Pelodiscus sinensis: one gene and its partners. The protein of the gene in region 3 interacts with the protein of the main gene of each other region in a pairwise test. Links are inferred from orthologs where the notes say so. Each region holds a gene or a part of one and is shown on either strand. Other genes may lie near its edges.

Region 1 (8,058 bases), on a different chromosome or scaffold from region 3:
TTATACTTCACCTCCTCTTCTTCCTGAAGTTTTCTTATGGCCTCTTCTTTTTCCTTCTTGACCTTGAAGTCTTCTTGAGCCTTTTCTTCTCTCAGCAACCATTCCTCATGTAGTTTTTGCCTACCAATAAAATCGGATATTACTTAGTAAGAGAAGTTTAGAGTCCATCACTAAGTTGTTAACATACTTTTGTTTATATTTCATGTACCGTGGTTGCAGGCTTATTAAATACAATTATAATTATTGAACACTGCAGCATATTACAAAGACATTGTCCTAACATTAAATTTCCCCATAAAAGGTGCTTATCCAGGTACTTTTAATATCAAAATGCCATTTTGAGTCTGGAAAAATCAGGGAAAATTAAACAGGGTTTTAGACAGTTATACTTCCATTTTTTATTCTGTTGCCAGGAAACTCTGTTGGATCCAGTTAAATTTTCAGCAAAATTTGACTAAACTGCATAATATGGATAAATTATATATTTACTTGTCAGAGATTTTAATATTTAATTAAATAAAAGACTAAACAAGTTTTCAGCTGCTGATATTATTTTAAACACAAGATTATTTACCTTTCAGCCTCAAGTTGTTTTTCCTCTTCTTCCAGTTCCTCCTCTTCAGACAATGGTTCATCTTTTTCAGTGACTTCTGAGGAAAAAGTAACACGTCCCTCTACATACAATTTTTTCTCCTGGGCTTCAATCACTGTATATAACATAAATGCTATAATATAAACCTTCAAATTAGAGCTACATTAGTTTTAAAATAGTTTCTCCTTAAATTAAAAATTTAAAATGCCATTTAATCAAAGATATGAATGTGTTAGTGCACTCTTTTTTTTTTTAATCCTAGAGATTTAAATTTAAGGTTTATTTAGAAAACCTTTAAGAAACTTCAAAAATATTTACTATACATTGTTGTAAGTCATCTGACATTGTATGTGGGAAATATTGTGCTACATGTACTTATCTTCTAAAGAAAAATTTTATATTATAAATTCCATTTTTCTGGAGCATCATTAAAATTGTGTGTGTTCTGGACCATCATAAAAGTAGGCTCATATTTTAATGTTCCTTTCTTTCTCCTAATAAGAATTAGTAATGCGTACATTGTTACAAAGTATCAAAAATAAAGGCTTAGTTGTTTACCTGAATCTCTTAACCTGGCAAGTGCTTGCCTTTTTTTCTTTCGTTTCTCTTTCTTCAGAATAGCTCTGTATTTTTTATGGCTGAAAAAGGCAAAGTATATCACCTATATTATGAAAAGTCTTCAGAACATTTTTCATTACATAGTTAAAAATAACATTTCATATTCAAATTTCAGCAACACTAATTCATAAAATCAAAGATATTAAATAACACCAAATATTCACCGATGCAGTATTTCTCAAATTGTGCTCTGCGGAGCCCCAGGGCTCCGCAAGGTTGACAAACTGGAAACATCGATAGGTACAACACATACAATCAGTGGACCGCTGGGCCTCTGCATAAATGTTTATGCACGTAAAGGGCTCCGGAGTCCAAAAAGTTTGAGAACCGCTGTATTAAAGTTTCAGATGTTGGGTTTTTTAAAAGCAGGAAAATGTGTCATCAAAACTATGTCTGGCCAATAGTAATAATCATAGTTAGGCTTAAAAAAAATAAAATAAAATAAAACAGCAGCTCATTCTCCTTGAATTCTCTGCTGTTTTTGATATTACACTGCTGATCACAGATGCTTTATGATATGTGGAGAGATGAGACTTCGCACTGACAGTTTTGAACTCTGTCCTCTCCTAGTTATTCTATCTCTCGATTATTCCTCTGGCATCCCGTTTGCTTGGTCCTCTTCCTCCTCTCTCCTGTTGTCTCATATTACTCTGTCTTTATCCACTTTCTCCTCTAAATATTGTGTGGGTGTATAAAAGCAACAGAAAATTCTCAGATCTACCTTTCCAATTCTAAATTCTTGCCAATGCCACATCTCGGCCTGTGTCTGACAACTCTAAATCAATTAGACTCTACATTTATTTCAGCCAAAACTGAATTCATAATTTCCTTTTGAAAGTCTGTCTACTTCTCCAATTTTCTGTCACTATCAATACTATTTCTAACCTTCCTCTCATTCAGGCCTGTAATGAAGTTTTGTAGCTGGAGAGACAACTCATCTCTGATGGCTCTTTTTTACTCCAAATATCCAGGCAGCATCCAAAAATGTTGCTGCTTCATCCTCCATAATACACCTACAAATCTGCAATTTTCTTTCTGCTCAGTCCGCTGAGAACTCTCCTCCCCACTCTCAAGGACTATCTCCTACAGCCATCCTCCCACACCACACACTGTTGGAAAAAAAAAAAAGCTGTCAAAATATCTTCCCCTGAACATCCATTCTAAATGCATTATCCTCTTTTTTTAATTTCTTCATTTAATCCCAGTTTCCTCACATTCAGGATTCACGCTTCCTATCCTTTCAAAGCTCTCCACAACTCTTTAGCTCAGAGATAGTCAACAGGCAGGTTGTGGGTCAAATCCGGAATGCCAAACAATGATGAACATATGCCAACACGTTTTTTTATTATCATTAACATTTGTTATTTTCTCTAGAGTCTAGACCTTTGACTATGCCTCGACCAAGACATTTGGATTCCAACAATCAATAACCCCTGTTTAGCCCCTTCTAGTCGTCAAACCGTCACGCTCTTAGTCATCAACAGCAGCAGCACCCTTGTCTACCAGGTTCTCCATCTCTGTCAAGCCCGTTTCCGTGCTTCCTGTTAGACCTCCCCGCCTCGGAGCCCATCTGCCACCCGCTGGGGGGAGAGAAGAGGGGGCCGCTCCCCAGCACAGCAGGCAGGCGAGGGGCCCGGACTAGCTGCACGGCAGATGCTGGCAGGTGTGTGCGGCGGCGGGAGGCGGGGGGGGGGGGGGGGGGCTGAGGGTGGCAGATAACGGCAGCACGGGCGGAACGAGGAGCCGTCACGACAGCGCCGCCGGACTCACCCCAGCTTCTCCGGCGCCGCCGCGGGGAGCAGCACGGGGGCCGCCATGTTGTCTACAAAGGCGCGTCACATGATACAACAGGAAGAGGATGAAGCGGCACCTTCCTTCCGCTTCCCTGGGCCGGGAGGAAGAAGGGCGCGATGGGAACTACGCATGCGCGGCAGAGCGGCTGGCTGATGTCCTCTGCGCCGTGTCCTTGCTTGAGCGCCGGGCCTGGACCCTACAGCGACCATGGCATCCGACTCCCCCCCCCCCCCACGGGAACATGTTGGCCACGCCCCCTGGCCGTGTTAGCCACGCCCCTGAGTCCTTAGTCCCGCCCCAGCTGTCACAGGAAGTCCCGCCCCAGGTCAAGATGGACACGTGACCCAGAGTAAAGGGTGTCCTGTGACCCCCTCTGCCCCAAGAGCTCCCACGGGAGTTCTCTGCTCGGTGTCCCCATTTGGTTCCCTTGTTTCGAACCCGTGACCCGCACTCCTTGAGCCTCCTGTCATTATTTGTCCACCGTAATCAGTTGGACGTGGGTCCAGTTGTCCCTCCTGTAAGGCTGGGGAGGGGCTTTTAGAACGTGGGCGGGCTTTGCCCATGGTTTTCAGATAGACCCAAGAACTCCCACCCTCCTCTACCAATAGGGATGGGTTTGGGCCACATAGGACCCTCCTCCCCGCTACACTGGGCCAAATTTCGGAAAGTCCTCCTCTTTCCCTTCCATCGTTCCCTGGATGCGGCGGTATCCCAGAAGAACCCCATAGTCTAGACATAGCCTGTTTAAAGAACTTGTTTGTTCTCCCAGTCAGCCGGAACATCCATCAGGGACATATTCATGATAGCTGCTCCATTTTTGAGCTGTTATGCCCATCTGGATGCAATTAATTCTAATCATTTACTTGATAGAGCCTCCTAGCTGGAAGAGGATGTTGAAATGGTCTGAGATCCCCTTTGTTACTCTAACACACTATCTTAGAAGTTAATCACATTTATCATCCTTGCAATTGATACAGGTACTAGTAGTCAGTTACGTGTACACAAGTTCTACACAATGCCTTCTTGGTGATTCTAGGATCACAAGGCACTCAAATAATCTAGCTTCTTGGGAAGCAGTCACAAAAGAGTTAAAGAGCATGTTTAAAAAAGCCAGACTTATTTCAGTTGAGACAAAAAACAGTACATCACTAAATCCAACAACTGAGCTATCTGTATACTCTGGTGGTCATCTCTGCAGCATTTCACCTGATGTCAGAAATCAGAAGTCCCATGTAGAACCCATCACACAAAGTTAACATGCAAGTTGCCAGATCTGTAGTTGTTTTTGCCTATGTTGAAGATCAGATGCATTTGGAAAAGCTCGCAATTCAAATCCCCTTCTGCAATAATGAATCAGTTTCATTTGCCTGAGTTTGAAATATCCATTAACATTGCAGAGTGTAAAGGAATATTAAGGCATAAACTACTGATATACATCAGTACATGGCTGTGTGCTCCTGATGTTCCCAGAACTATTGCATAAAATTCACAAAAAATACCTTCTTCAGTTGCTAGCAATGAAGCAGTGATACGTTTTATAAAGTCATACTAAATGGCTATGCTAGCCACTATTTTCTTTGTCATAGTTCAAAGGGTATGTCTACACTACCACCCTAGTTCGAACTAGGGTGGTTAATGTAGGCAACAGGAGTTGCAAATGAAGCCCGGGATTTGAATTTCCCGGGCTTCATTTGCTTATGGCCAGGCGCCGCCATTTTTAAATGTCCACTAGTTCGGACTCCGTGCCCGCGGCTACAGGCGGCTCGAACTAGGTAGTTCGGATTAGGCTTCCTATTCCGAACTACCGGTACACCTCGTACACCTAGTTCGAACTAGGGTGGTAGGGTAGACATATCCCCAGCAACTGCATCTGTATTTCTTCTCTTCTCCCACCCCTTCTCCTGGCTCCTCAGTTAACTTTCTTGGGTGGAGACTCATGTCTTTCTCCTTCCTGACTGTGGGTTCTTCCGGGCTTCAGAGTTCTCTGCCTACAGCATGATATCTCCAGCAAGATAGATGGCCTAAACAGGCCAGCATCTCTGCTTGCTTACTCTTTGAAGGCTGTTAAAAGTTGTAATTGCCAGCAGTTACAAATTACCATACAGCTATTTATAAACAAGCACATTTATTATTAAAGTGAAATTATTATAGAGAAAATATTGAAAACAGTAAAAGAACCTACACATGCTAAACAGTCTCAGAGGGGTAGCCAGGTTAGTCTGTAACTAAAACGTCTTTAAAAACAACAATGGTCCTGTAGCACCTTAGAGACTAACCAAAAAATATGCTAAACAGTTTGCCAGAGATAATGCAAACCTTCAAAATCCACGACTAGGTCAGCCCTTTGGCAACAAGTTCCTCACTGTTCAGGACTAGAACTACCATGAATAGTTTAGCCTTTCCTGCGTATAATTTGGGGTTTTCATCTTAGCTGCCAGGAATATGTAATCGGCAGACAACGATCCTCTCATCAGGACTGAATTATAAAGCAGGACTCTCTGGTCCAGCAACATCTGTGGTCCAGCAGACCCACAGATGTTCCTGCAGCAGAGCCATAGGGCTGGGAGGCTGGCAGTGGGGCTGAGGGGTCAGTGGTGGGGCCAGTAGCCCGGCGGCAAGGTGTGGGAGAGCTGTCTGCACAGCCAGGAACCCAGTGGTAGGGGGCTCAGGTGGCATGGGCAGCCCAGTGGCACAATCAGAAGCCCTATAGCAGTGAAACTCCAGCAGCGCAGGGAGCCCCATGGCACAGCCGGGAGCCCCACAATGCGGCCAGAAGCCCTGCAGCAGGAAGGTGTGGGCAGGACTGGCAGCACAGCTGGCTGGCTGCAAGGAGGATGACAGGGACCAGAAGTGGAGCCAGTAGTGAACTGGGAGGCCAGTGGCAGGGGATCTCCCCAGATCTGACAAATTTCTTTGTTTGTGATGGGTCGGGTCCCAAGGCTGCTAGACCAGGGAGGGCGAACCCATAATGAATTTGTTGTTCATTAGAAGCAGCAGATGGCAGTAGTGTGCTATCTGAGAACTAATCAACTCCTTAGATTCTCAGAAAAGTTGTAAAAGACCTAAAACAGTATCTCTCTCAATTCTGGTATCTCCTGTATAGTTATTGAGTTATAATAGTAGTCAGTATGATAAATCTCTTAACTGAAATCCCTCAGCAACAGAAAATTAGGCATAGTTGTGAACCATTCTTTTGTGCATTCTTCACAATATAATATAGATTGAACCTTCCAAATCTGGGACTCTGGTCCAGCAATATCTGTGGTCCAGAAAGGCCATGGATGTTGCTGGACTAAAGAGACCTGGGAGTGGGAGCCAGCCAGGAGAATGTGGCGTCTGCAGAGTCACGGCTGATCCAGCAGTGACTAGGGAGGGGAACCTGGCATCAATGGGGCCAGGCAGTGTTGAGAAAGCTCCGCCCCCTGCTGGAGAACCACGGATGTCAGTGGGGTTAGGCAGCAAGAGTGGCCCTGGCAGCGTGACAAGCGACATCCGGGTGGCCTCAGCTGGGGAACCCCGGGAACCCCTGGAAAGTAGTGGGGCCACACAGCAGCCTGGGATCCCCAGCCAGGGAACCACAGGTGGCAGATGGTGAATTCTGGTCCCAGCAGGGACTCCCCAGTGGCAGTGAGGCCAACCAGCCCTGGTCACGAAAGCCTAGGATACTCTGGGTAGCAGGGGGGCCAGGCCACAGCAGTGGGACCAGCAGCAACCAGGGGCCCGGGGCCAGGGCCAGGGAACCCCGAGGAACCCAAGGAGGTAGCAAGAAAAGCAACAGCTGAACGGGGCTGGCAGTGGCCAGGTGGCCCTAGCTGGGGAATCCCAGACAGGCCATGGGTTAGTGGGGCAGAATCAGGGCGGGAGCCCCAGCCTTGAGAGCCCCAAGGAGAGGAGCTGGCAGTGAAGCAGCTAGCAGTGGAGCAGCTAGCAGTCTGGCAACCTCCATGGTCCAGGTCAGCTTAGGTCCCGCGGGTGCTGGGCCAGGTAGGTCCAACCTGTACTGCACTTTTCAGTGGTTAATTTCAGCATCCATTTGTTTATTATGATCACTCATTATGTCCTTATGGAAAAATCATTCTTAAGACTTCATAACATATTTAACTGGTTCAAAAGATGACATTCTGCCCAGCACTCTCTATGTTTATATATTTTTTGGGGAAAATATAGTAGTGTAATTTTGTCCATAAAAACTGATTAGTCTCATGTAGCCAGCAGTAAAGACAATGGTCCAGTGAAAATGTGATCATCCGTCCTTGCAATGTCTGTACAATATTGCGTATATGTATCTTTCTGTGTTAAATGCTCCCCAAAACTTATTCCATACATCCCAAATAGTATGGGGATGTTGAAATAATTATTGATGCAAAAATGGACAAATATGATGTCTAGATCAGCATGTTCCATTCATGTAACTAAAATAATCTAGATTTCTAATATGATCATTCAAGTTTTATAGTACATGGGTTTTAATACACATAGTTCTTTTAGCAGCAAGTTTCCAGTGGTCTGCAGAAGTCACGTCTTCAAATTGCTTCACAATTCAAACTGAGAAAATGTATTTCTGGGGATACTTCTTTTACATCAACTTCCATAAAAAGTAATCGTACATTTTCCCCTCGATTAATATCCCACAGCTCCAAAGCTGCAACTGTAAATACATGTGAACATATTTTTGCCATGCTGTGGTGCATTCCAGACAGGGTGCATCTACACAGCAGGGCTTAACTCGAAATAAGATAATTGAGTAGCTTATTTTGAAAAAAGCGTTCTTCCTCCTAAAATGAGGTTTTCCACTGTCAAAAAAACTGCCACGTTCCTTTCATTTACTTTCAAAAGAACGCAGCAACAGGCTAGACACGAGAAGTTTTTTCGAAAAAGGCCACTTTTGTCGAAAAATCCCTGTAGTCTACACACACCCTATGTCAAAATAACTGCTGGCTGTGTAGACGCAAACTATGTTATTTCAAAATAACTCTAGTTATTCCCTCTGTGTGCTTTTCATCACCCACCCTTCCCTTTTCCTGCCCTCCTTTCCCTGCTTGGATGGGGATGTA
Region 2 (8,287 bases), on a different chromosome or scaffold from region 3:
CTTTTACTACAAGAGAGCTTGAAAAAGAAAACAGAAAACATATTGCAATCTCTAGAAGCTGACCTCTCAGCCTAGACAGGCACACACATAGACCTGTTATCTTCCATACACAAGAATCACATCATTGTCTTTAAAAAGGTGATTTTATTAACAAAACAAAAAGATATACTTGGTTGCTAGGTGTCACAGAGCAACTGAGAAAAGAGCAGATTAAAAGAAAAAATGGTATCTCTGGGACAGCTTACGTACAGTGAATGGGGGGAGGGAGGCACATGGATTTCACTCAGAGAAGTTTAACAAAGCAGAAAATAAAGAAAAATACCCTGACCACAACTAAACATACATTTCTTTATCTACTCATGATCAGTACTGATCCATACTTCAAGGCCAAGTGCATTCCCATTGCCAATATTTCTTGAAGGCATGGTAATTCCATATCATCTTGTTTCCTCCAGCTTCTGACTTAGAACTCACACAAAGGCTATGTCTAGACTGCAGGCTTCTTTCAGAAGAAGCTTTTCTGGAAGAGATCTTCTGGAAAAACGTCTTTAAAAAGAGAGCGTCCACACAGCAAAAGTGCATCGAAAAAGCGATCTGCTTTTTCAAAAGATAGCGACCAATCATTGTGGACGCTATCTCGCATTCAAGTTGTGATTACTATGGACGGAGAGGCCACTAGGGCACCTGTGCTTTTTCCTGGAGGCCTCTTCTTTGGGGGGGAAAAAAAACCCCTCTTGCCTGTCCATACACGCTTTTTCCCGAAAGAGCTCTTTCGGAAAAAGGTTTCTTCCTCACAGAAAAAGGTTTACTGCTGTCTGAAAAACCACTGCGTTCTTTCGACTTTCTGCGAAAAAAACACAATTGCAGTGTGGACGTAAGTGTAGTTTTTCCCAGAAAAACTCTGCAGGGTAGACATACCCTAACTGAAGTGATCCATGACTGCAGGTCTGTTTCCCAATGAATAGACACACTATCAGCTGTTACCCAACTAGGCTAACAAGTTGTCACTCCATGCCACTGACTAAAACCTTATAAGGTCTGTGATAGAAATGTAACCGTGTTAGTCTGGGGTAGCTGAAGCAAAATGCAGGACAATGTAGCACTTTAAAGACTAACAAGATGGTTTATTAGATGATGAGCTTTCATGGGCCAGACCCACTTCCTCAGATCAAATAGTGGAAGAAAATAGTCACAACCATATATACCAAAGGATATAGAAAAAACAGTTTCTTGCCATTTTAACCAGAAAGGACACTCTCTCAATGACTTAACCACCTGCATTCTGCTACAAAGACCTTTTACATCTGCACTTGAAAGGGAATCCTCTGAACTGTCATTCATGTTAAAATTCGACACTCTCCGAGAAGGAATGAACAAATGCTCAAACTATCTTACCCATTACCAAGATAGCTTCCCCAATTATCACCTCTAATACCATTAGCTCACAGACATCCCACTCTCCCCACCTCTAATATCATCAATTCACAGACACTTACCTTCCTTCCTCCCCCTCCTCCTCCGCATCCCCCTCCTGTTCTGAAATGTGATTTGTCCTTTTCATATGTGTTCATTTTTTTAATTGTATTCTTTGGTATATATGGTTGTGACTATTTTCTTCCACTATTTGATCTGAGGAAGAGGGTCTGGCCCACGAAAGCTCATCATCTAATAAACCATCTTGTTAGTCTTGAAAGTGCTACATTGTCCTGCACTTTGCTTATAAGGCCTGTGACTCAGGGAGGCAGCACTCACCACAACCTCTCAGTGAAGTCACAGGGAAAAGAAAAAGAGCATCCAAAGCACCCTGAGTGCCCAGTATTTATGGACTATCATTGCCTAGTGATATCTTCCCATTCTGTTCCCTGGTCAAGGAAGAAGTCTGTCCAAAATGGAGGTTCACCTGTTGTTTTAAACACAAACAAAATGGCAAACCCATGCCCAAACAGTTTAAATATCCCAACTGAGTTAATAGTTCCTTTGTAACATATAAAGGAACCAATATTAACAGCTGCGCATTTCCCCAGACCTGCCAGCTGCCTGCTTGGCACAAATGTGCAGGTGCAAACAGACTAGGGAAGAGATGTTCAAGGAAGCAAATGCAATCTGACAACTTGGACAAGGAGCACATAAGCAAGTGGAGGAATATGCTTGCTGGAGGAACTGCACACAAAGCATCAGGCAAGGAGAGCGTTCAGGAAACGGGAAGTGAAGCACTAGGAGGGAGTGCTGTCATCCATGGCAAATGTGATGGACTGCATGGTGTCACTCCAGGACTCCTTCCTGTACAGGCACCCCTTACGGCCTTGCAGATCTATGTTCCCTCCTCCCAGAGTTCCATAGCATCCTCTATCAGAGTGCCTAGAATGTAGAGGGAGGAGAGTCAAGGGCAGCCACACGAGTCTCTCAAATTGTCAAAGTTTGAAGTAGGAATAAGATCCTCCAGAAAAGGGCGCTTTTTCCGGAGGATCGGGGCCAGTGTAGACGCTCTTTTCAGGCTTTTCTAAAAGCCGGAAAAAAGCGGCGGACATTTTTATTTAAATGCCGCGGGGGATATTTAAATCCCCCGCGCATTTCCCTACTACGATGGCTGAAATTAACATGCCCCTTCCGGAAAAGGGGCCAATGTAGACGAGCCCTGCTTGTATTGAAGGATGGGAAGGGAGTGTTACAGGCTAGCACATGGAATGCAAGGGTACCTCATTGAGAGCAACATGCATGACTCTGAAAACTGGCCATTCATAAAACTGTCTCTCTGATTTATTTGGGCATAAGATTTCATAGGCTCGATGAGCCCATTTCGTTACAAGCTAAAAAATGCAACCCCCCCCCCCCCAAAAAAAACCCAGCAGCATTCTGGGATGTATTAGAGAGGAGTATTGTAAGGAAGATACCAGAATTCTTAATTCTACCCCATGTTGATTAGGCCTGACTGAAGTATTGTGTCCAGTTCCGGGCACCACATTTCAAGAAAATATGGACAAATTTCAGAAACTCCTGAAAAGAGTAACAAAAAAAGATTAAAGGTCTAAAAAACATAACCCATTAGGGAAGATGGGGGAAAAAACTGTGTTTGTTTCGTCTGGAGAAGACTGAGGGGGAACATAATAGTTTTCAAATACATAAAAGAACGTTACAGAAGGAAGAAAAAAATATTCCTGAAACTATGCATACAGCACAAGAAGCAATGGACTAAAATTGCAGCAAGGGTGGTTTAGGTTGGACAGCAGGAAAAACTTCTTGTCAGGATGGTTAAACACTGGAATAAATTCCCTAGGAAGGTTGTAGAATCTTCATCATTTGCGATTTTTAAGCGCAGTTTAGACAGAACGGCTACGTCTAAATTGGCCCCTTCTCCGGAAGAGGCATGTTAATTTCAAACTTCAGAATAGGGAAATCCGCAGGGGATTTAAATATCCCCTGCGGGATTTAAATAAACATATTAAATAAATATTCCTGAAAGTAGGAATAAGATCCTCCGGAATAGGGCTTTATTCCGGAGGATCGGGCCAGTCTAGACGCTTTTTTCCAGCTTTTCCCCAAGCCGGAAAAAAGCGGCGGCCATGTTTATTTAAATCCCCCGCGGATTTTCCTATACTGAAGTTTGAAATTAACATGCCTCTTCCGGAGAAGGGGCCAATGTAGACGTAGCCAACATCTGTCAAGGATCTAGGTAATACTTACTCCTGTTGAGCGCTCTGGGGCCAGCAACAAGGGGTTAGGAAACATGGCCAGCAGCTGGGGCCGATGGCCAGGATTGACCTCCCCTAGTCCAACCAACTACTTTGCAACTGATCAGGTCCCAAGGGAACAGAACCAGGGAGGTCCAACCTATACTGAAGAAGCTGCTTCTCTGTCTGGATGCTTCTAGTGCATTTACTAACATAACCCCTTGATGTTAATGGATATGGGGGGGGGGGGGGGGGTTGGCAAATCTTATTTGTTACATTAACTTCACTTACAGCAAAATCAGGTTGCAGATTTATTTTGTTTTCAACATACATGTTAGAAAGGAATTACTCTGGAACTGAAAAATTAATGGGAAATTGTTATTCAGGTACTGTCGCACCCGAGATCATCTTCTGGCATTCAATTTAGTGAGTCTAGTGAAGACCTGCTAAACTGAATGCTGAGCGTGCCCTCAGTCAGCACCAGTACTCCTCAGTCGCAAGGAGTAAGAGAAGCCGATGGGAGCATTTGTTCCTGTCAACCTCCCACTGTGAAGATAGTGCCAAGCTCAGCTTAAGAAGTATGGACTCCAGCTACATTATTTAAACAGCTAGAGTTGAGTATCTTAAGCTGACCTTCAAGTCTAGTATTGACTAAAGATGTTAAGAGGCAGGTATCTGACTAATCATTTAGTTGATACAAACGGCTACATGATTAGTTGATAAGAGAAGGCACTCTGTACCAGCTCGCACTGGTCCAGGAGCTATCCCCACTGCAGCTCTGCAGTTTAAATGTAGTAGGAGCCAGGCGTGCAGGTAGCCCAGCTCATACAACATTTAAATTGCAAAGCCACAGTGAGGTTAGGACTGCAACTGGCACAAGCTAGAACTGAGCCAGGTTTGCTCAGTCTCAACTTTTGCTGGGTCCAGTAGTCCCTGCCTGTACCCAACCTGAGCCGCCACAAACAGAGGCTGCTGCCTTTCCGCGTGGGGGCAGCACCATGGAGACAATGCTGGGGGGGGGGAAACCAGCCGGCTCCTGTCCCCCTGCTGCCTCTGATATAGAGGGCAGCAAGGGGACGGGAGAGGAGGGAGTAGTTCTCTCGACTACTCTCTTACTTCCCTAGACCTGGCCTTAGGAACAGGCTTTGCCAGCTGCTGAGCTCCCTGGGTGCCCTCAGAGCCATCTGGAGAAAGGGGCGGCTCTGCGCCTGGCAGATTCAGGCCCTGGCGATTCAGAGGAAGCGCCCTGCAGCTCTAGGCCCCTAGAAGGGGGCGCTCAGGCAGGCGTCAGCTCAGAGCGCTCTAGCCGCAGGCAAGCCCCAGACTGGCCCCTCTGCCTGAATTTTCTCCGCCCCGCGAGGATTCAGTCACGAGCCCGGAGGAGGAAACAGGGATAACGGCCCTCAGGCCCAGACGCCTCTCCTGCTAAGTCCCCAGTGCAGCAGCCCATACTGCACATGCGCGGGTATTTCCATAGCCATGGCGCGAACATGTCGCATGCGCGAGAGCTGCACGACATGGTTGACTGCATGTGCAATAGCTGCAAGTCCTTGGGAGAGGTACAGGCAGTGGACATGCGCAAATGGGGCGTCTGTGGGCGAGGCGAGTTGTGCGTCTGCGCAAGATCATCGAAGTACGCGGATCGCGCTTGCGTAGAGAAGAGCAGTAAAGGATTGTGGGATACTAGTTACGGCCCGGGCAGGCTGCTGGAGCGGGCAGCTGGTGGCAGTTATTACTCCACAACGGTTGTTTTGTGCGCGAGGCCCGTGGTTGTGCCCGGACGGGTAGCGGCAGGGGACACAGCAAAACGCTACCCGGTTCCTAACGCGCTCTTCCCCTTCCCTGATGTGTTTGTAGCACTGGAGTGGGAGGCAGCGCGATGTCTTCAAGCAGCGGCACCGACGTGATCCAGGTCACCAATGTCTCTCCTAGCGCCAGCTCCGAGCAGATGCGGACACTCTTCGGCTTCCTGGGCAAGATCGAGGAGCTGCGCCTTTTTCCTCCCGAGTGAGTCCGCCAGCGGGAGCGGGCCCCTTCCTCCCCCGCGCCATACTCGCGTCCCCTCCCCCACTCAACGTCCCGCCTCTTTCCCATCCCGCCCCGCGCTTCGCTGCCGTCTGCCGAGGCACGCTGAGAGTGTCAGGCCCTGGGGCCTAGCTCGCCATCTTCAGGCCTCGGCCGGCGGTGCGGCGGGATCGGGCTTCCCCGCGGAGCTGTGATAACCCCCAGAGCCTGCCTCAGCACCTCGCTAGTGTAGACCTCCGAAAGGGAGAGTTAGCGGTGTGGGGGAGGGGGGAAGTGTCGTATCCCGCCTGTCTCACATGGCTCCTCCTCGGCCCGCAACGTGCCGGGTTACCTCACGGCCGGGCACTCGTTCCCGGAGCAATTTTCAAAGCATGTGTGAGGGAGGGCCCTGAGCCTATGGGCAGTTATCCCGGCTAAATGCACGTCCTCTTGCATCGCCGACTGCCCCGGAGCCTCCAGGTGTTGAGCTACGTGTGGTGGGATTGCTCTCTTACGGAGTCACCGCTCACCTGTTGGATAGTTTCCATTAACGAGCAGTTACTACAAAAATAGCTTTTGTTTTCCCCTTTTCACAAATTGATTTTTTTTCTCTCCCTAACACACAGAAAGTGCAAGGTGGGCAGTAAATCTTAAACCAGTTATTGGGTTAAAGTCTCGTAAAAATTAAAACCAGCAAACAGTGCTTTGCATTACTGAGAATGATGCCCCCACCCAATCTGCTTCCAATGGATTGCAGTTTTTTTTTTAAAGGGTTTCAACTATTTAGAAATGTCTAGACAGAAAAATAGAGCTTATGACAAGGTATAAGTTTTTACAAATATTTAACAAAAATATGCATATACATAATGATTATTTTAACGCACATCAGATCTGCTGAACTCACAAATTGTAATCCATGCTCAGAGAGCTTTTAAATAATTACAGTTTTTTAATTTATTGTGATACAAGAACTGAAAACAGCATGCCATCTGTTTCTGTTCCTTTTTTTTATTTGTGAAGCAGGATTGCCTTTATTTTCATATAAAAAGATTTTGACTGTGCCTGCTCATTACTCTCCCTCAGATGGTTTCTAATATACCCATTTTTTCACCTACTTTCAAATAGTTGCTGTTCGGGGGGGAGGGGGGGAAGAAAATTAACTGCAAAAGCGACTTTCCTTTGTGCCACATCTCTCTCTCCCCCCCACAAATCCTCCAGGTATCCTAGATAGATGTGTATATATTCTAACACAGGATTTTTTAGTGTGTGTGTGTGGTTTTGGCATCCTCAAATGAACACTGGCAATCTGAACCCCATTTCAATGCAATTTTGAATAAGAATTTGTAGTGTAGAGGAAAACTAGTGGATGCACAGAGATTCAAGTTGATAGGTTTTTATTATTGGAATACAGTAAAACATGAATGTTTTCATTTGTATATGGAAAATCCTATTTAAAGTGCCAGAAAAGTGTCATTTTCACCAAATAACAAGGAGCTAGTGTCTTTAGCAAGAGAAATCTGTTTAGGTTGTTAACATAGTTTTCTTCATTGTTTTGAGCATTTCACAATCATTAATTTGTATTATGTTTCGACATCTGTATGAAGTGGATGTTACCACCCCTCTACAGATGGGAAGTTAAGGCATGGAGTGGATTGAGTGACTTTCCCAAAGTCTGGTTGAACTGGGTATTGAATATATTTAACCTAGGTCTCTAAAATACCAGTGAAGTGCTTCTACGGCTTGTATGCATATAGCTTTTGGTAGTAGCTGCTTCTAGAAATAACTCCTGAAGCTTCACCTTTTTCTGCTAGAGAGTTCAACAACTCTCTTGTTTTTTGTATACCCCTATGTTGTTCTTAATTCGTCCCCACTTATTAACACAGGCACCCACATTCAATACAAGAATACTTTGTCAAAGCCTATATAATTGGTTGTGATAAGTATGAGAAACAGAATCATCATGTCTCTATCAGAGGTAAAAAAAAAATCTGCCCAGGATAGAGCAGTATTGGTAGGGTGCATGCATTCTTACTAAAGAAATGCAAAATTTCAAAATCATATATTTGCACTTGACTACAGTAGGAGACGCGTATAATCTCTTTAGTTTGGCACTCTGTCTCAATGGTACTTTGTCCATTTTAAGGTGGATTTTTGTTAGAGTACACACCAGAAATGGATTTTAAGTTACACATTACACACAGATAGACTTTGAAAGAATATTCATTAAGACCACAAAGTAAGCACTTCTTTAATGAAGGATACTCTTCTCTGTAGTACTCCAGCTTTATAGAGTGACTGAGAGATGGGTTTGTAGGAATAGAAGTACTGGTAACACCCAACTTTTCTCTCCAACCCCTGATTAATCACCAGAACAGAGCCATACTATGCACTGAATGAGGCAGGGCTTTTGAGGATAAAATAGGATATGGTTGTGTAATTAAAATAAATAAGCTAAGTTACGGTTACACAAGTAACTTTAATACTAACATTTCCCAATTTCTTATTGCATGAATTAAAGTTGTAACCTTGGTATTCTTTTAACTTGGTGTGTAGTTTCTAGGTATTTCAAAGAGCAATCTCAGAAATTCCATAATGTGTTGTTACATTAACTCCAG
Region 3 (7,443 bases):
TGTGGACCAGGGGCTGGAATGAAATATTAACAAAAGGGAAATGGCACAGACTTGTCAGTGTCCAAGATGAATTGAGTGCTAAAAGCAATCAGCTTTGGGGGTTGTGGAGATTCTTAGAGGAAATTTGTGGTGTTATTAGCAGCTGATAAGTAGAGATGAATGGGACCCCTACAGTTATACAAACCTGATCCTGTAGCACAAGACCACCACTGTAGACTGAGAGCACAAGATAACCCAGCTGGAACTGTGGCATGATGCACAGCAACTTTCTTCAGGAGCTGCCATGGAATGCTCTTGGTGGGGGCTGAGGACATTTTTAATGGACTTTTAAAGTTACATGAGCGACGCAAAGTAGCGTGTATTCCCTCCCCCTCCCCCACAAAGAGAGAGACTGAAACATCCTGTGATGAATAGGTAATAGCTATGCTGCACCCAAAAGAGAGGAGCATGACAGGATATGTGCATGTTCTTTGTCTTATAGACCCTGTCGAAGTGAACCCTTTCCTGTGATGATCCCTATATAGAATTGGAAAACCAGGCTGCAGAATTCCCTAGCATGGATCTCATCAACTCTACATGATGGCTTAGAAATCCTGGAGAAATGTCAGTCTTCTCAGTTATATTTTTAGAGTAATATCTATATAGGAACCTATTTAATGTTTATAAAAAACCCTATTGGATTCCTTCTGATTACAGTTAATACTGGAAGATCCGTCTTTGTAACAATGTATGGCTGCAGAACACATACTCTGTAATTGTCAGTCAGTCATGTACATGCATTCAGGTTCATGCCTCTTGGCTTCAGAAATGCAGATTTCCACCCAGAGAACTAAACAAGAACAGTTAAGTAGGTCACCCAATAAAGATGATCTTTATATGCAGACAGGTGTGAGTCTTCTCCAGTAGAGGGCACAGAGTGGTTGTATACTCACAAGCCCTGTGTCAGAAAACAAAGGAGCCCAGTTACAGCGTGTTTTCTTGAAATGACTCATTTTTTTTACTAATTGTCATAATCATAACCATTCTAGTGTGTTTCTCTGCCCTGACACAGGAGGTCTCTCCATCCATAACGCTCATAACATCCGGAAATATCATCTTTTAAGGCAATCGGGCAGTGCCTAGATGTTCCAGGGTGGATCCAGGACCCCGTTGTGCTAGATGCTACCCATGCACTTTATTGACACTCCCTTCCCAGATGCTTTACAACCAGTGTTCTTTCTGCTGCATCATGTAAGGGGTTAAAAGTGGGCCTGCTCTCACCAGACCCCACAGCTCCTGGTCACATACCTCTCCACAGCTTGCCTAATTCTTAAACCTGTCTTCATTCCTTCAGCAAGTTTTTACTCTCCCCTCTCCTTTACCCAGGCCAAATTCAATGTTTTGTTTTTTTCAGGCTAGTGTAAGCTGCTGGCTTGAAGGGTGAACTGTTCTTTAGTGCCTGATGCCCAAGAACTTGCTTTTGCCACCAGCTCCTTGGGAAGCTCTTTTAGCTCTTCAGAAACAGAGTTCTCTGCTTTTAGCATTAAAGGGCGGAGTCCTATTCCCTGCCTTCAACCACTAATGTAATTGAGGAGCAGATCTCAAAGAGCTTTACAAAGGTCAGTATCATTTTTATGTGTATCTTCCAGGTGAGGAAACAGCCCAGAGAGTTAACCACTTGCCCAAGGTCACCCTACAGACCAGAGTCAGAGCTAGGAATAGAACCCAGGGGTCCAGAGTTCTGTTCTCTAGTCTAGACCACAGTGCCTCCCAATGACAAAAGGGTCATTGCACAAGGCTTTGTGAAGTGCTGCATCAGATCTTTAAAATCTAGATCTGTGATATCTATAGCACTCTCTTCATCTCCTGGTGTTCTGCTTCTCCAAAAAAAGTGATCTGGTTTCTCTAGTGTGATTTTGGTTTTTTATAAATGCATACTGCTTATTGTTCCTGGTTCTATTATCTGCTACTTGCTTACATAAATGTTTTGTGCAAGATTCCAAGGTACAATATATATAGTCTCATTCATTCAAGGTCAGCTGCTTTTACTTGTACTTCAAAGTATCAGGCACAAGGAGTAATTTTTCTAAAGATTTTTTTTCATTCTATTCAGTACAAAGAGGCACACAATTCAGCATGTCCAACTGGCATCAAAGAGCTGCCCCCAACTTGTATCATTGCATGTGGCATTGATCTAGATAATGAAACTGTGTAGAGACAGGAATGCGTTCTACATCTGATTCCTAGGGTGCCACCTGTCCATATATGATGGCATACTGGTTAGAGCCCAAGGGGAGCTGTATCCCCTATGGAGTCAGAACAAAGTGTCACACCAGGGGTGCAGAAATAATGTGCATACTGAGGGTGCAAAGAGCCACTGAACCCAAACTGCAAACCTTGTGTATGTTGGAAAACACTTCAAGGTTGGAGTGCCAGTGCACACTGGGTTCCAGCACCTATGTATCTCATTGAATGACTTTCACTCATGACTTTCTCTGGTCTCTGGCTGTTTCCCAAACCTGGTTCCATTGGTATTCAGAGACTTTGGTGTCTCTTTAGGGTAGCCAGATAATGCAGGGCAAGTGAATTCTAGGACATCTGATTATAGGCAACAAACATAGGAGGAAGACTCTACAATCATGTCTGCACTGATCTACTTCTGGTGCCACTCCATTGTTGGTTGCAATAATGGAAGTGCCATTGTTTGTAAGCAGCCTTTGCTATTTTTGCCTCCATGATGTCTGGATTATTCTGGCTCCAAATCTATCCAATAGGGACTGGTAAATCAAGCTGATGATGTTCTAAAAGCTCAGTGATCCACTTGTACACTGGAACTTTTCCCTGCCAGTCTCTCAGCTAGTGTAAACTGGTGTGGCTCCACTGACCTTTAATGGAGAGGAGAGCTTTCCTTGTAGCCACATACAATGCAAACCTACAGCCTTGCCACAAACTGAGGCCCTGTACTGCTGTCATGGACTATCAGGTAGGAAACTCCTCTTTAAGATCAGAAGGCGAGGGGCTCCTGCAGACCTGGATAGAGCACTACTGTCAGGTCACTCTTCCTCAAGGAGTGCACTGACTATCCAGCATGATGTTTACAGCAACCCTTTCCTAAGGGTTGTTCAGTAGCAGTTTGCAGGTGAAGAAAACCTGATGGGACAGGTCTCTGGGATTTCTTGTTTTCCAGGTAGATTCTACAGTCTGAACCCTTCTTTCTCAGCCACTCCCCTGAGAGCTGGGACCTGCCCACTGCCAAGCCTACTCTCTGCATCAGCCAGATAGGGTCACTTGATGACCTCACAGGGCTGTCGCTGCTTTCAAGGGCAGATGGCTCTGCTTGCCCCATGGGACTGATTGGCTCTGAGGCTTTATTCTGTTCATGTAGAACTGCAGCTGCTGGGCAGCAGCCAAGATGTGCTCCACTAGAGCAAAAGCAAGTCCCCCGCCCTGAAGAGTTTACAGTCTGTGGGGTGGAGAGCATGGTTAAAGGGCAGAGGAGAGAGAGGAGCAGGCCTTGTGAGCTGGATTCATAGTGTGCAGAAGTTGTTTGAATAGCTGGATGGGGCTGGTGGTGTCGCATAGGTGTTGGCACAAAGGCTGGGATATCAGCACAACCCCCATGGGGAGCATCAGGCTGGAGGTGCTGGAAGAAGGGAAGCAAAGATGTGGACAGAAGCATGAGTGGGCCAAGAGAGGTCTGGCAGGTATTTAGATGGCAGGTGGGGAGGTTCAGAAGGAGAATTCACATGACCAGTATGGGCATTCTGAATTGGAGGAGGAGGAGGAAGTTGGAATAATTAAGATGACAGGAATTCACAGCACACAGGAACTGTGGCCCTGAGTTCAAGAGGGTCACACACTCTCCCCAGGAGAAAAGCAGAGCTGACCACCCCGGGCTCCCCGGGGAAGGTTTGGGCAAGGATAATCCCCTCCTCCTGGCTGCTAGCTAATGCAGCAGCTGTCGGCCCCTCCAGAGACCAGCAGGATTTCTGCCCCATCCCTTGTTATGCCCGGAGCCATCTACCCATTTTCTGCCTGAACTCCCCGCTGGAACCAACCTCTCCATTTCTGAGCAACTCTTCTTTCCCACCCAAATCCCCGCCTCTACCGCCCCCTGCCTTGGGCTTCTCGGACGGCCGGGGGCTGGACTTTCTTGGCCTGCCGGGCAGCCTCGTGGGGCCCAGAGCGGGGTGCTTGGCACTGTCGGCTGGGCGGACGTCAGGGCAGTGTCCTGAGGGCTGGGGGCAATGTCAGGCAGAGCAGGTGGCGAAGGCTTCTCCTGCCAGGTCTCCTGGCCGGCCCTGCAAGCGGGGCGCAGCGTGGGGAAGGGCTGCACACCGCCTCTAGCCCGGGCCGCGCTGGCATGAGTTCCCCTCCGAGGCGCCGTGTCCCTGGGGCTGGCGAACGCGTGTGAGGCTTGGCAGCTGCCCGGGGCTGTGGGGCTAGGGGCTTTGATCTCGCCCAGGGCGCGGCGAAGCCAGCGCTGGGCCACGGTGGCAGCCGGCACACGCGGCCTCCTCCCCGCGCCCTGCCGCCTTTTGTGATGCAGATGCAGCCGGGGAAGGCGGGGGGGATGGCCAGCCCCTCTTCCAACGTCACGTTGTGAATGAGACAAAACAGGAGCCTGGCTCGGGCTCGCAGACACACTCCTCTCCCGCTCCCTCCCCCTTGCGCGCCGGCGCCGCCGGGCTCCGAGGCGCCCCGAGCGAGCGCAGGGCGGCTGGAGGCCGGGCGGGGGTTTCAGCACCGCGGAGAGCTCCCCGCGGCGGGCGGGCCGGCCCCGGGCATGGCCAGCGTGCAGCAGGGCGAGAAGCAGCTCTTCGAGAAGTTCTGGCGAGGCACCTTCAAAGCCGTGGCCACGCCGAGACCCGAGAGCATCATCGTGGCCAGCATCACCGCCCGCAAGCCGCCGCCGAGGTAAGGGCTCCGCCGCGCCCTGCGCCTGAGCCGCTAGGACGCAGGTCACCGCTCTGTAGGAAACTTTTCCTAGACTCCGCGCGCGGGTGCCCGCGAGCGCTCGGGTTCCCTAGCCGGGCTCCAAGGGCAGCCAGGCATGGAAACTAAGCCAGCATCTCCCTCCTGCTGCGGGGTCCGCAGGGGCCTGTTTCTAGGTCACGGTCCGCCTGCAGGGGAGTTGGTTAGCGGCCGCAGGGAGTCCTATAGTTGGAAGGGGCTAGTCACAGCCGTGGCTTGAAAGAAAGGTCCCGGGAGAAATAACATCCAGGCGCTGAACTGAGGGCAGAAAGGAGAGGGAACCAGGAAAGACGGACCAGGTACAATGTAGTAGCACTCACTGACAGGGTCAAAGTCTGATCATTTCAAGATTAACTCTGAACAAAGCCCTGCCCTGATATTTCCTGGCTATGTATAGCGGCCACTGGGTGGATTTGAACTTGGGATCTTTGGAGCTTAGTGTAGGAATCTCTACAAAGCCTGCACATCCTTAGCCCTTCCAGAACTGCTCCAAGCTCCCGCAAAGAGCCTAGCAGCTTTGATTTCCAAGGAGAAACACTGCTGGGTGAATGCTGCAGAACTGGTGATGTACCCAGTAATCTCCTTTTGGGCACACCTTTCTTCTCAGGGCAAGTACACAAGCAAGCACAACTGTTCAGGGAAATGTGCACAGAATGCCAACGCATCACACACGTTCCTTGCAAATCCATATTCCCGTGGGGAATAGCCTAGAGCCCTTACCTTGTGCTTTTAGGAGGCATCCCATAAGTAAACTTCAGTAATAACATGTGACCCAGCTGACCAGTACCCTAGTACCACCAGCAAATATTCAGAGTAGTGGTCCCCGTGAAGCAGGAATATGTTTGCATAGCCTATTTGTTGGGGGAGAGGGAGAAACCTCTACATTTCTTGTGTCCCAGTGGTTCTCAATCTTTCCAGATAACTGAACCCCTTTCTGGGAGTCTGGTTTTCCTCTGCTCCCCCCAAGTTTCCCCTCACTTAAAAAGTACCGGCGTATGAAATCAGACATAAGATTACAACAGTGTCATGGCACACTGTTCCTGAAAACTTGCTTTTCTTTTTTATACCATGTAATTGTAAAATAAATCAACTGAAATTATTGTGCTTACATTTCTGTGTATAGAGCAGTATAAACAAGTCATTACCTGAATTTTAGCTTCTAATGACTTCACTGATGATTTTCTGTAGCCTGTTCTAAAACTAGCCAACTATCTAGATGAGTTGATGTATCCCCTGGAAGATCTCTACATAGCTCCCTGGATGCATGGTCCCTCAGTTGAAAACCACTTGTGTACACCATTCCTTGCAAACCAGGTGACTTAGCTCTAATTTTGAGTTTATGCTAAAATGTCCCTGTAAATGTTGTAATCAATAACTTAGTGAATTGTAGCAGGGAGGTGGGGGGGGTTGTTTGTTTGTTTGTTTTTGTATGGAGGTGGGGTTGTTTGTTTTGGGTTTTTTTAGAATGACTACTAATGAGAATAGGCAGGTGCATCCTAGAAATACCCAAATCTGTGAAGCTAGCATTGTTAAGACTTGCTACATCCTGGGGCTAAATCTTAAGGTGGCAGGCCTCAATATCTTACTATCTGCCTCTGATACCATAGAGAACATCTGAGAGATGATACTTGAAACATCTGATGATGATATTGTATTTAGTAATTATGGAACACACTGGTCTATAACTGTCTAAGAACCATTAGCGAGACCAATATTTTACTTGACATCTATGTTTGTTCCTCTTTATTCTTGGCAAGAGTTGAAGTGTCTAGGAAGGTTAAAACAGAGAAATGATGGCTCTTTACTTAGTCTTTTGTGCTTTTGAATTGATATTAGCATTCAAACAAATAATTGGTGTAGGTATCTATCCGTAAGTCCTCAGAGGATTTCTCATAAAAATCAATCAAAATACAGGGCCACCAGGATAAAAAGACTGAATAAAATAACTTTTAAGAACCATGAAAAGAGAAAATGTTTCTTTGCTTTGAACTAGGAGCACAGTATAGTGTGTTAAGGTCAGGGTTTCTCATTTTCTTGGGTTGCTGCCATTAATTTCATCCTTTGATGACTGAGGAATACTGCGAGTTGCATTCAGTTCTTAACAGAAGAAAATGATTGGATTGTATACTATCCTGGAATTTTACAGCAGCTTACCCCAGAACCTCTCTCTTCATTGTTGTGCCTACAGCTATTCAGTCTGTCCTATAAGCAATTTTAAAACCTTTGGCATAGAGTTAGGTTTTCTTTTTTTTAACCTCTTCCCACCTTGACAATCTAGAAGTCAGATCCTCAATTAATACAGATCATTGCAATTCAACTGAAGTTAACAGATCTGTGCTGGCTTACATCTGCTAAAGATTTGGCTTTAGATATTTAAAAAGGAGTTTCATGTCCCTGCTATTTCAGTTCTTTTTAGCATGCAGAGGACCCTTTCTTTCTTTCTTTCTTTCTTTCTTTCTTTCTTTCTTTCTTTCTTTCTTTCTTTCTTTC

Evidence for each region.
Region 1: the proteins of SRRM4 (region 3) and ZRSR2 interact in binary tests that used the Homo sapiens proteins (3 or more experiments, as listed by UniProt). The link is inferred for Pelodiscus sinensis from reciprocal best matches to the Homo sapiens genes SRRM4 and ZRSR2.
Region 2: the proteins of SRRM4 (region 3) and SRSF11 interact in binary tests that used the Homo sapiens proteins (3 or more experiments, as listed by UniProt). The link is inferred for Pelodiscus sinensis from reciprocal best matches to the Homo sapiens genes SRRM4 and SRSF11.

The regions. Positions count from the first base shown.
Region 1 is NC_134711.1:211,583,634-211,591,691, forward strand, and holds the start of ZRSR2 (U2 small nuclear ribonucleoprotein auxiliary factor 35 kDa subunit-related protein 2), read right to left. Parts: upstream 3,204-8,058; 5' UTR 3,028-3,203; coding exon 2,981-3,027; intron 1,231-2,980; coding exon 1,151-1,230; intron 708-1,150; coding exon 575-707; intron 121-574; coding exon 12-120; intron 1-11. UniProt on the Homo sapiens protein: Pre-mRNA-binding protein required for splicing of both U2- and U12-type introns. Selectively interacts with the 3'-splice site of U2- and U12-type pre-mRNAs and promotes different steps in U2 and U12 intron splicing.
Region 2 is NC_134719.1:20,887,496-20,895,782, forward strand, and holds the start of SRSF11 (serine/arginine-rich splicing factor 11), read left to right. Parts: upstream 1-5,243; 5' UTR 5,244-5,547; coding exon 5,548-5,675; intron 5,676-8,287. UniProt on the Homo sapiens protein: May function in pre-mRNA splicing.
Region 3 is NC_134725.1:10,306,653-10,314,095, reverse strand, and holds the start of SRRM4 (serine/arginine repetitive matrix protein 4), read left to right. Parts: upstream 1-4,273; 5' UTR 4,274-4,585; coding exon 4,586-4,896; intron 4,897-7,443. UniProt on the Homo sapiens protein: Splicing factor specifically required for neural cell differentiation.